2 linked regions of the Xenopus tropicalis genome follow. The protein of the gene in region 1 binds, or shares a complex with, the protein of each later gene. Links are inferred from orthologs where the notes say so. Each region holds a gene or a part of one and is shown in the gene's direction. Other genes may lie near its edges.

Evidence for each region. The genes of interacting proteins can lie anywhere in the genome.
Region 2: zbtb8os (region 1) and fam98b share a complex: the UniProt entries of both Homo sapiens proteins name them as parts of the tRNA-splicing ligase complex. The link is inferred for Xenopus tropicalis from reciprocal best matches to the Homo sapiens genes ZBTB8OS and FAM98B.

The regions. Positions count from the first base shown.
Region 1 is NC_030678.2:90,313,902-90,318,111, forward strand, and holds the start of zbtb8os (protein archease), read left to right. Parts: upstream 1-1,410; 5' UTR 1,411-1,482; coding exon 1,483-1,564; intron 1,565-3,549; coding exon 3,550-3,574; intron 3,575-4,210. Other genes in the region: histone-binding protein RBBP4, read right to left, coding at 494-641, 818-833. UniProt on the Homo sapiens protein: Component of the tRNA-splicing ligase complex required to facilitate the enzymatic turnover of catalytic subunit RTCB. Together with DDX1, acts by facilitating the guanylylation of RTCB, a key intermediate step in tRNA ligation.
Region 2 is NC_030684.2:110,765,252-110,773,218, reverse strand, and holds the end of fam98b (protein FAM98B), read left to right. Parts: intron 1-1,365; coding exon 1,366-1,538; intron 1,539-1,637; coding exon 1,638-1,718; intron 1,719-3,407; coding exon 3,408-3,524; intron 3,525-4,245; coding exon 4,246-4,413; intron 4,414-5,495; coding exon 5,496-5,786; 3' UTR 5,787-7,011; downstream 7,012-7,967. Other genes in the region: decreased expression in renal and prostate cancer protein-like, read right to left, coding at 7,448-7,500, 7,627-7,967. UniProt on the Homo sapiens protein: Positively stimulates PRMT1-induced protein arginine dimethylated arginine methylation.

The DNA.
Region 1 (4,210 bases):
ATGAAGGCTACAGCGAAAAAGCCTGTGCCGCCAGTTTTCATTTTTAGGTTATACCACCATTGATAAACCTTCCATATACAGAAATGTCTACAATTCAGTCCCTCAGCTGTTTTGTTATCCTGGCAATATATTCTAGTACCAGTTTGAAAATAGCTGATTTCTCCATTTTTCTTTTAATTAATTGAAACATACAGACTTTGAAATGAACTCTAAAAGCTGTGAAGCAGAAGTTGGACTAAACTATTCAGCATCTACTGCTGGGGCTGAAATTCCAAACACTGGCACTGGTTATTATCAGTTATCTACACAGAGACAACTTTTTTTTACAATTGAAAATAAATGCAAGATCCACACTAATGTTCCACAGCACTAAGAAACCCGAAATGAGTACAGCTTTCCAGTCCCCATAACTGCAGATAGTTAAAGCTATATTTTCCATACAGTATAAGATTTAGTAATAAGTTAAAAAAAGAAGTGTTACTATGGGAATCACCTTGTGACATCTGGGAGCCACTGGGCAGTCAGGCTAGGCCATTCCAAGGCATGGGTCATCACCAGATCATACAGGAAAGGGGTGTTCTTTTTCCATATCTTATACTCTTCGTTTATAACTCGTTCCTCCACCGCATCATCAAACGCAGCTGCGCACATAAAAACACTCGAGTCAGAATGCACTTTAAGAAAGGTGGCATTTGCCTCTCACAAGTATACCGGGTAGACGCGAAGTAAAGGACCCACATCTCAATGCCCTCAAGATTCCCGCGTACCTCAATCACTAGTACCAAAAGGATGTCCCTTACTCTCGGCTCATACTTACCCTCTTTATCAGCCATAGTAAATCCAGGAGCAGAGACTTTACCGCTTGCGAGACTCAACTTGCTCTTAGAGTCCTCAACTTAGCTCACGTTTCCCCGGTTTTTCCCCTGACTCCTCCCCTCAGTGCCCGGGCCTGTTCCTCCCGCTATTGTTTCCCGCCTCCCCCGTGTCTCGGAGCCGCACACCTTCGCGCCAACAAGACCCAATAGGAACCGTAGCAGAAACGGCATAGATCACCAATCAAGACACTTTACGTCATCAATGGGTGTCTACCAAGTGCGCGCCAGTCAAGAGTGCATGGGACGTCACGTGGTGCCAGTCGGTAGGGACCGTATTCACGGAAGTGAAGTAACAGCCGGTAAGGCAGTGATGCTGTAGGCGTCATGTGATCAAGGAAGGTTTCCTTGTGTTGGTATTAACGAGCACATACTGTCCCAACGATTTAATGTTATGATTTCTGCCATAAGCTACCGAAAGAAAAAGGAGTGTCCAACTTGCCCTGATAGCACCTTCACACGGGCACCACACTGCCATCTCTAGTTACGGAAGTGAAACAAAATGGACCCTTCTACAATTGCTTCAGCCGGGAACACGTGACAGGCTGGTGGAACCCAGTCTCCCGGAAGACGCTTAGGCTAATAGGCTTGAGGCTGCGCACCTGAGAAGATGGACGAACGCTATTATACAATAAGTGAAGAGCAGGTTGCTGTCAAGGCAAAGTACCCACCCGTAAACAAGAACTACGAATGTAAGAGTTATATTACAGTGCTAATGCAACTGCTAGTGGAGTTTGAATGAGCCGTTTGTAGTCGTGTATCTCGCCACTGAAGTTTCCTAACTTTAAGTTCAGGAGCGCTTGACTGATATTTGTCGGAACATTAAGTGAACATGGATATTGGGATAACTTTACTTTTATTACCAGTTTCTATCTGTCGTACACCGTTGTCATGTTACCACATATTGGTGGCTTAAATGGGCAACACATGTAGGTTTGCCACCCTAGGTGGGGGTTAAGCCCGAACAAAGGAGATTGGGCAGCTGGCATTGGGGGTCGGCACAATTACATCAGAGGTGGGCACAATGATGTCTGTGGGGTTTTGAGCCTGGGGCAGGGTTATTGTATAACTTATGCAATTGGCTGGAATTCTGTCCGGTTCAAAGTCACACAGGTGGCAACCCTATCTCTATCTATATTCTGCCTGATGAGTAAAGCTTTGGCAGCTTATCAACCCATGCATGGGCACTAACAACGACTGCGCCTATACCCATAGCTCTAATTTGATCGCTTGGCCCCTGGGCCAAACGATCAAATTAGCCCGATATCGCCCACTCGTAATTAGATATGGAATCTGCTATACAGAAATTAGTTATCCAGAAGGCTCTTTAATACAAGAATGCAAATTTTTAAAAAATACTGATTGAGTGGTTTGCTTTTTTTTGTTTCTGTAATAATAAAAAAATAGCTGCACTTGTTAATATCTAAGCCATGTTGAGGTAAGTATCTTAAAGGACATGTCAACCCCAAAAATAATGTTTTGCCTTATAAAAGAAAACATAATTCTAAGTAACTTTCCAATATCTATTTATTAAAAATGATTAGTGCTTTAAAAGTTTTTTGTAACTGTAATTGCTATAGAAAGCAGCATTTGCTGATCTCCTGGTTGTTACTTTTTAAACAATGTTGCAAGTGTCAGGCTCCTCCAGCAAGTCAGGTCTGTAAAATCTGCTGGACAGGCAAACACTGCTTTTAATAGCAGTTATATATACAAATAACTCAAAATGGGGCTGGACTAATACAGACTAAAAACACTGTGTTAACAGGGATAGGGAGCTAATATTCTTCTTAAAGAATAAGTAACCTCTTTTTTTTTCTATCTGTAAAATTACTCTAAACAGCCTCCAGAATTACCTACCTTTGTCCCAGCATTCTCTCTGATCTGGTTCCTCAGTTAGAATTCATAGATCATTTTTTTTTTTTTGCTTCCTCGTGCAGAATGAAGCCCCGTCCCCACTTCCAGTTCAGTTCTGTCTTTAATTCGACTACCTGTAGTCGACCTGGAGACAGGGCCGGATTTAACTTTGCGACGCCCCGAGGCCGCCTCCGCCCCCCCCCCGAGTGCGCATGCGCAATCGCGCGGCGCCCTCTCCCCCTGAGTGCGCATGCGCGATCAATGCGCAATCGCACATTTAAACTCCCATACGGAGCAGTGGGGAAAGGTCCCGACTGCTCCGTATGGGAGCCAAATTTAAAAATTCTGTTGCGGCGGGGCGGCATGCCGCCCCTAAACTTGTGCTGCCCTAGGCCCGGGCCTTTGTGGCCATTCCACAAATCCGGGCATGCCTGGAGGCAGTCTGTGCATTAGCAGGTTTTTTTTTTTTTTTTGCTGAAACCTGAACAGGAAGTGGGGGCGGGGCTTCACTCTGCACAAGGAAGCAAAGAAAAATTATTAACTTCTAACTGAGGAACCAGGTCAGAGAGAATGCTGGGACAAAGGTAGGTAATCTGGAGGCTGTTTAGAGTAATTTTACTGATAAAAAAAGGTTTACTTATTCTTTAAGCAAATGTGCTGCTTAACAATAAAAGGAAAAAAGTTAATGTAAACCCTATTTATTATCCCGTTATATTGCCCTTTAATTCCTGGTGTAAATTATGTAAATCCTAAACAAAGAAAATTCATAATTAAGCACCTATTTTATTAATGAAAAGCTAATTTATGCAATGTTCTCTTCCAGATCTTGACCACACTGCAGATGTTCAGTAAGTATTTTATATAATATTGTGAAGTTTTGGGGGGAGCACAGTGGCGTTGCACCACAGAAGCAGGTCACTCCAGACATGTCCATCAAATTCAACTTCCTGTTTGAAGGGAGATTTAATATGCTGGTTTTTCAGGGATTTTAACAAAACAGCTCCTGCTTTTAGCCACTTTTACCAGCTCCTCATTTCCTTAAAACACCCATGGATGTCCAGCCCACACCTCCCTGCAGGATAACCCCATGATGGCTCTTAAAGGGGTGAAAACCCAAAACGGGGATATATACTTTCATTCAGGATATATCCCATTTGACTTGTACTATGCATAGGCGTCGGAGCCGTGCCCCGGTGCAGAACCATATCAAGCAAAAATCCAGTAGTTCAAAGGAGCCACACTGTTTGAAGCCGGTCTTATGCAAACAAAGAATGTTTATTAAAAAGTGAAACTGAATATCCTTAAAGGACATGTAAAGCCTACATTTACCTACAATGTATATCAGTTGGGCACATCTCCCCCACCCAAATGGCATCATGTGTACTGCATATATCCCCTCCGCTTGCCAGAACCATTACATTTTCCTAAAGCAAATAGCAGCTTTCACCAGGTGGCCATTTTTCCTCTGATACATAATTGGATAC
Region 2 (7,967 bases), on another chromosome or scaffold:
CCTCTCTGCAATTTTGTTATCGTATTTATTGTTCCTTCTACAACACTGCATCACTGTCTACTGGTTTTACTGTCCCTTCTTCCTCCTCTGTACATGCTGTTAATCAACCCTGGCTTCTGCACCCTCCCCTCTCATTCTACTGCCCTCCTTCACAATCATCTTTATGAAATCACAGCCTCCCTATGCCCTTCTCCCCAACAGTTCCTCCCACAATCCTTTTTTCTTCAGTAGACAAACTTGGGGTTCATTTATCAACACTGGCCAAGTTTGCATGTGACCAGTAACCCACAGCAACCAGTTGGGGGTGGAACAATGAATTCAACAATTTGATTGGTTGCCATGACTTAATGCCCATGGGCAAATTTGCCCAGTGTTGATAAATGACCCTCAGGACCACAATTCCTGTTAAATACATTTACACAACAGTCTGCAAAATTCTCAGTTTCTGTTTTTTCTCTTTTCACTCACTTTTTACACCCTCCTCTTTTTAATGGCTGCCTTTTCATATACCTTCCCCACACCTTTTCTGAAACCCTGTATATTCACAAACAATATTCCCATCATTTCCTAGGAGAAATTACTTAAATTTATTGCCAAAGCATTTCCCCAATCATTCATCCACCACTTATCGAATACAATTTCACCCCTCTTTCCTCCCCTAATTCGGTATAGTTCACATATACTATGTATGTCTATACTAGTCCATTTTTCTTTTAAGAAAACATGCTTGTCCCCTTTTTGTGTTTCTCGCTCTTCCTGTCATTCCACTAATGGGACTTTAATGCATCATAACATCCTCCCAGATATAAATGTAATATGGCTGGGTGCAATGATATTTTTACAGTACAGTTGAAGTTACCTCGCCTTTTATGTGGGGTGCTCTTAGCCAATTATAGTTTAAAGCTGGGCACCTACACTTCAATTTTTTCTTCTCTTGTTTCCTGAACTTTTTTTTTTTTTTTTTATTCAGTGCCTTTTAAAAGTATTGGCATCTATAATTGCAGAATGCGGCATAATGGTGCTTCTTATGTACACCAGATGGCGCTACACTTATTTCTATACTTTAATTGTTTTTCTTTATGTTAGAGGCTACCTGCTTTTTTCCTTTATTGAACCATCATTCAGAAGTCATACACTAAAGTTAAAGTCAGATAATTCTTTTGAGTCTGTTTGGTTACATCTTGAGCTGAAACCTGGATTCTTTATTAAGTGTGTCCTACGATGCTTTAGTAGTGCCTTTACTGTATACTGTACTCTGGTCCAGTGGCTTAACACTATTTTAAGTCCTCTGTCCACTGCAATAGGATATCCTGAGGTAATGCTTCATCTTTTAATGGTGCAACTATGGTTTTTTTTTTTTCTCAGTGTTCCTAGCAACAGAGCTTATGGCCTTGCAGATCATAAAGAAAAAGAAAAAGAGCGAGGTGGATCCACTTGATGCTGCCTACAAAGAAGTGAAAACCATCTGCAGCGCTCTCCGTTTACCTGAAGAGCCTTCATCTGATGTCTCGGCCATGTTAAAAACTGTGGAAGCAAAGGTATAGGGATAGCTTCACTTCTACATATAGTTTGTTTGGCTGCTTTTACTTATCTATTGAATGCTGAGGCCTTACACCAGTCTATCCATATTCTTGCAGATTACAGATGTGCTTTCTGAAGGGAATCACAGTGAACTAAAGGGAAAACTGCTTAGTGCAGAGCTGAACGTGGAACAGCTGGTAAGGCAACCCTTTACGATGCCATTTTTGTAAAAAGGTTTAGCAAATAGTGGGACAAATGTTTTGCACTTTGTTGTCAGGGTTTAATTGTCAGGCAATTCAGATTGCATAGGCAATACACCATAGATGAAAATGAATTTTACTGTAATATAATACAGAAGAGCCATGAATATCCTGTATATTATATCCTTATAAATGGTGGTTAGTGATGTAATTTCTCACTGAAACTTGTATATTATAATAAATAATATACCCCATGTTTTAAAATATGAAGATATTAGAAGTCACTTCAGAGTTTCATGACCTGTATAAAAGCATTCAGCCTTAGGCCTCATACCTTAATATGGTCATGAAACTCCTCAGTGACTTTAAATATTTTATAGTATTTTACAATAGGGGGGTACATTATTTGCTATATAATATACAATAACAATAGATTAAATCATTAAGGAAGTCTTAGTACACTCTTTGGCATTGTCTGCTCACAAAATCAATCAAAAGACACTGCTGGTCTAAAGGACCATTTGGCACATTGGGTTGGCTGTGAACTACAAGCAACTGAGAAGGTTTGTTGTGAGTGTTAAAGGAGAATGAAAGTGTTAGGCTTCCTCCAGAGACTTCCTGAACTATAACACAGCAGACGCCCAATACTGTCCCACAGCTCCAGACTGGGATTCAAAATAGACCCTGGCATTTCAAGTACACAGAGGCCCAAACAGCCCCTCAGCAGCCCAATAAATAGTGACTGTCTATGGCATCTTACAGCAGCCCCTCTGGCATAAAATGCAAGTATAAATAAAATGCAGGCTAGCGCACGGGGGCATCACACAAAGACTGATATCCTTTACTGGCGATTACCGGTCAGGACTGATACATTTTTAACTGCACATGCTCCTGACAGAAAAAAAGCCTGAAAAATGACAAGACTTTCACATAATACAGCAGAAATAATAACTTTTTATTCAGTTTCTATTTCTTGTATTTTTTAAAAATTGGTTTAGTTTTTCCTTCTTCTCCAATGAACTCTGTAAGTTAGGTTGCCAACTTTCTAAACTTGGGGTGTCCAGACTTTGGGGGTCTAGGCTGTGTGTGTGGGGTCACCAAGTGTTAATGCCATAGGAATTCATTCGAAAGCAGTACCCAGAGAGTGCTGTATTGAATAAACACCCATTCATCATACCTTTTTTTAAAAATTGGAATTTTGGGAATCCCCTTTTCTATCATTTGATACATTTAGTGATAAATTTCTCGGCAGCATCAGAGACCTGTCAGGCAGCAACTAATGTATTCAGTTGCCCTGATAGAAACTTTTACAAAAGGAGTGTTTTCAGAAGGGACTGAAGCATCTGCTGCTAAGAAAGGTATAAACTATATGTATGAAATGTAACAGTTTAGAAATTCAGGGATGTGGCTTACCAAGCTGCTAGTTGGAAACATGAGATGACGAAAACAAACAAACAAATAATTCTTTTTTTTAACAATTCTAAAAATGGTAAATAGGAATTAAAAGAAAGCTGAAAAAAAGTCTGTGTGAGTACTCTGTGTGATATATGAAAACTATACTTTTGTTTTCAGGCCCAGTTCCCCTTTAAATCTTGGTTATGGACTGCTCTGTATGAAAGCTAAAAGTAATACAGCTTTTGCTCAGTGGTGCATATTTAATTGAATTTCATGTTCTTGTCCTTACAGGAGCGCCTGGAAAAAATCAATGCAGCTCTCTGTAAGGAGTATGAGTGTCGGCGTAGGTTGTTAATAAAACGTCTGGATGTAACTGTGCAGTCATTTGGTTGGTCAGACAGAGCCAAGGTAATTAGTGCCTTTGTAATGTGAATGTGCCATACAGCTAAAGGCCTGTTGGTGGCAGCACTTTTCAAAAATGATCATTTGGCTTGTAAAAAGAAATGTAATACAGATTTTTATTAATAATATTAATTTTAATATATATAAATGTATTTATTCTCAAGTGGAGCTTACATTCTGAGGGCCCTATCACACTCGCACGCATTAGGGTTAATTTTACTAGTAGCAGATTAACGTGCCTGTATGGTTTTGGGAGTACCCAGAGGAAACCCACAAAGACTCATACATACCCATCCTACTACTTGCAGATAGGCTTGAATCAAGCCTAGGACCCCAGCACAGCAAGGCAGCAGTGTTAACCATTGTGCCATTCATTTCAGTGAAAGACCTTTGAGGTGGGCTTGGGCAGAGGCTGGTCACCTCGCCCCCCCTACGCACACAGGAGTGCTAACATTATGGGTTTGGGGGGGCACACAGGGACAAGAGGTGGCAGGGGCGAGAGAGTCCTGACTAGGGTTAGGCAGAACAATTACCTACCCTCCCAGTGCAGCGTTGTGCCCTAGCCAGGTGCCTTTTCTGGCCTTGGGCAAAAGTGGTGCGGCTGTGGAATAGATACAACTATTATGGTAGTATTCTGTCCTCCTCTGGCACTAATCGTTCCATGTTATTTTACATAGCCAAATGTACGAATTCTTTTTGGAGACTAACTTCATTCTCTTTCCCAAAGTCCAAAACAGATGAAATTGCCCGTGTGTATCAGCCACTTCGCTACTCCCTATCTGCAAAATCCACAGTCTCACTAGCACATGTTATGGCTGCCCGCAAGGATCTCTCCAGAATCATCCGCACAAGCAGCGGAAAGATCCGCGAGAAGACAACATGTGCAATAAACAAGGTAAATGGTCCATTCCCATCGTGGAAAGGTCCAGTCAGATTATAGGGGTAATTCACCATGAAATTAAAGTATAATAATATTGGTTTGGAAGCCACGCAGCAGTTCACCACTTCTCTTGACCAGTTAGTCTTTTTTTGTTTTCTGTTTCAGTGGGTCTATGGATGGTAGTTCTTTTACTTCTGCAGAATTGTGTATTCCCATGCATTATACTATAATTACTGGAAGGTAACATTAAAGTATACCCGGTTATTGCTTCACTAGATTTAGGGAGTTCTTATTTAGGCCTATTGCACATAAGAGAAGGACTCTTAGGGTCTCAGATTCTATGAGGAGTCTATCTCACCTTATATTTAAAAAATAATATAGCTTCTAGTGGGTGCATTATAATGAGTAATATCTATAGAGATAAATTAGCTGCTTTTGCAAGGAAGTGTGTTGAAATTACTCACTTTAAAAAGCAGTTTAGTCATGCATGACTAAAGGACAAGTAACACCAAAGAATGCAATGTATTAATTTGAGCTACTATTCTACTTATATGTGCTCCATACAGAAATATTTTCTTTGAAGCCAAACGCTTGTTTTATTGCTGTGTGTTTATTGCAGGTGAATTCCTGTGCTGGCTCAGTTTTATGGTATCATTCTGTTGGCTGCTGCGGATATTACTAAAGTTCCATTTGGTCATGTTCCTTATTTTGTGCAGAAGAACAGGAACAGCACCTCTTGTCTTTGTAGATTAAAATGCCTTTATTGCAAAGTTTTTTGGGGCAAACAACAACAGCAGCAACGTTTCAGGTCACATAAGACCTTTTATCAAGCAGCTTGATAAAAGGTCTTATGTGACCTGAAATGTACAAATGTACAAATCTACAAAGACAAGAGGTGCTGTTCCTGTTCTTCTGTACCAGGATATGCCGATGGAAAGTGGCCATTGGGGAACCTGCACTACTTCTAACTAATCACAAGGCTTGATGCTGACTACTACTCTCCTTATTTTGTGTAGAGTACAAGACCGATAAGTGAACCAGGCTGTCCCATTGTACCTGTATGTTCCAATACTCTAAATTTGTTACCCTTTATACAGGTCCTGATGGGCAGAGTGCCAGACAGAGGAGGGAGACCTTCTGAAATTGACCCCCCACCTCCTGAGATGCCCCCATGGCAAAAAAGACAAAATGATGGAGGAAGAGGAGGATGGCGAGGAGGAGGCGGGAGAGGAGGAGGTGGATTTGGAAGAGGAGGAGGTGGATATAATGCAGGAGGAAGAGATTTCGGGAAAGGTGGTGGAGGAGGATACCACAGCAAAGGAGGATATTCCAACCGTGGCAGCTATAGTGACAGTTATGGTGGACGTGGTGGCCAAAGGTGGTATTAAGGAAGTCTCGTGGATATACTGCAGGAGGAGAGGGACTTGTCACTTATGCAGGGACTCCGTTTTGTGCTGTGAAGGCTCTTTGGGATCTCTCCTATATTTTATATGTGTGAGACAGGGTAGTTCAGCCCAACCCTTTTTACTTAGGTTTTTTACGCTGTAAAAATGAAAGGATATTGCTGATATAATCCTTATTGTAGATTTTATCCCACAGACTGTTCCGCCAGTGTCTCCATACTCTGGTTTGTTACAGGATGTTCCTATGTCTCATTCTCCTGTCTTTCCTTATCCCTCAGTGCATTCATCTTGTGGCGTGGAGGCTTTTTACCCATCACCAACATCTGTAACTTCCTGGCATTGAGTCTACATTACGTACACAAGTAATTCCCTTTATTCTAACTGCCCAAATTAATGCTTGCACCACCACAGCCACAAATTCACAAAAAAGCACAAAAACAATAGCTGTCCCTGTATAAAGGCAATAATGTATTTATTATATCGATTTTAAGGGACATTATATTCAAGGATCATGTGCCTACAAACAATCTATAATGCTCTTAGTAAACTAAAGTAGTTAATAGCCATTTCTGGCCAGTCAAGGAGAAGTAGCATCAAATGATTTGCTTTTGGTTGCTCTTTAACAACGCAGTTCAGTAATACCTTTATGTCAGAGATCATTTCTTTTATTATAACACACCATTCAGGCCATGTTGTTCCAAGACCATATCTGAAACCCACTGTAGGAATATGAGGCCATAACAGGACTAAACAAGTAACACCAAACAATACCATTTATATTTTAAGAGCATAATACCATGTACAAGGCACAAGGGGAATGGTTATTCACTTGGTGAGGGGGGCTGGTTTGTTAGATATCCTCCACCCCTTGATTAGAATGACTTATCTCAGACCCTGGGTCGGTAGCCTGGGCTCCTATTCTGCATCGCAATATAAAAGTGGCCTCAGAGTTCTGTGACCTGTACCAAAGGCTTCTGTATTCTTCTGATTTTATATGGTCACAATCATGTACGTGACTCCTACTGTTCTACATTTTAACTTTATAATACAGGTATGAGGCCCATTATCCAGGAAGCTCTGAATTACAGGAAGGCCATCTCCCATAGACTCCATTTTAATTAAATAATTCTTATTTTTGAAAAATTTCCTTTTTCTCTGTAATAATAAAACAGTAGCTTGTACCTGATGGTAACTAAGCTGCATACATTCATATTGGTGATAAAACAGTCCTATTGGGTTTATTTATTATTTAATTGATTTTAGACTTAAGGTATGATGATCTAAATTACAGAAAGATCCCTTATCTAGAAAAGCTCAGGTGCCAAGCATTCTGGCCAATAGATCCCATACCTGTATTAGTGACTGCGGAAATTGATTGTTAAAATGAAGCTGTGCTGCTGTAAAAAAGGGACACTGCTGTCAGAATGGTGTCCGTATGTAATGTTATGTACAGTAGGGACAAACCCCTCGTACTGCAAGTGATATTGCACAAGCCTGGAGGAATTCATTTCCTGGCACTCAGGCAAGTTTCCTTTCTTGTTTGCTTTATGGCAAAGTGTATAGTTGCTCCAGAATCAAAGTACCATTAAGGGGACCCAAACACCAAAAATGAATTTGTATAAACTTACTCAGAGAGATCCTCTGAGCTAGTGATGTGCAGGTTGGGCTGATACCCAAGGGACCCAGGGATCAGCCTGTCCTCGGCACACCATTTGTGGGTAGTGGGCAGGATTGGGCTGACCTCGGCACGCCATTTGTGGGTAGTGGGCAGGATTGGGCTGACCTCGGCATGCCATTTGTGGGTAGCGGGCAGGATTGCGTTGACCTCGGCACGCCATTTGTGGGTAGCGGGCAGGATTGGGCTGACCTCGGCACAACATTTGTGGGTAGCGGGCAGGATTGGGCTGACCTCGGCACAACATTTGTGGGTAGCGGGCAGGATTGGGCTGACCTCGGCACGCCATTTGTGGGTAGCGGGCAGGATTGCGCTGACCTCGGCACGCCATTTGTGGGTAGCGGGCAGGATTGGGCTGACCTCGGCACACCATTTGTGGGTAGCGGGCAGGATTGGGCTGACCTCGGCACACCATTTGTGGGTAGCGGGCAGGATTGGGCTGACCTCGGCACACCATTTGTGGGTAGCGGGCAGGATTGGGCTGACCTCGG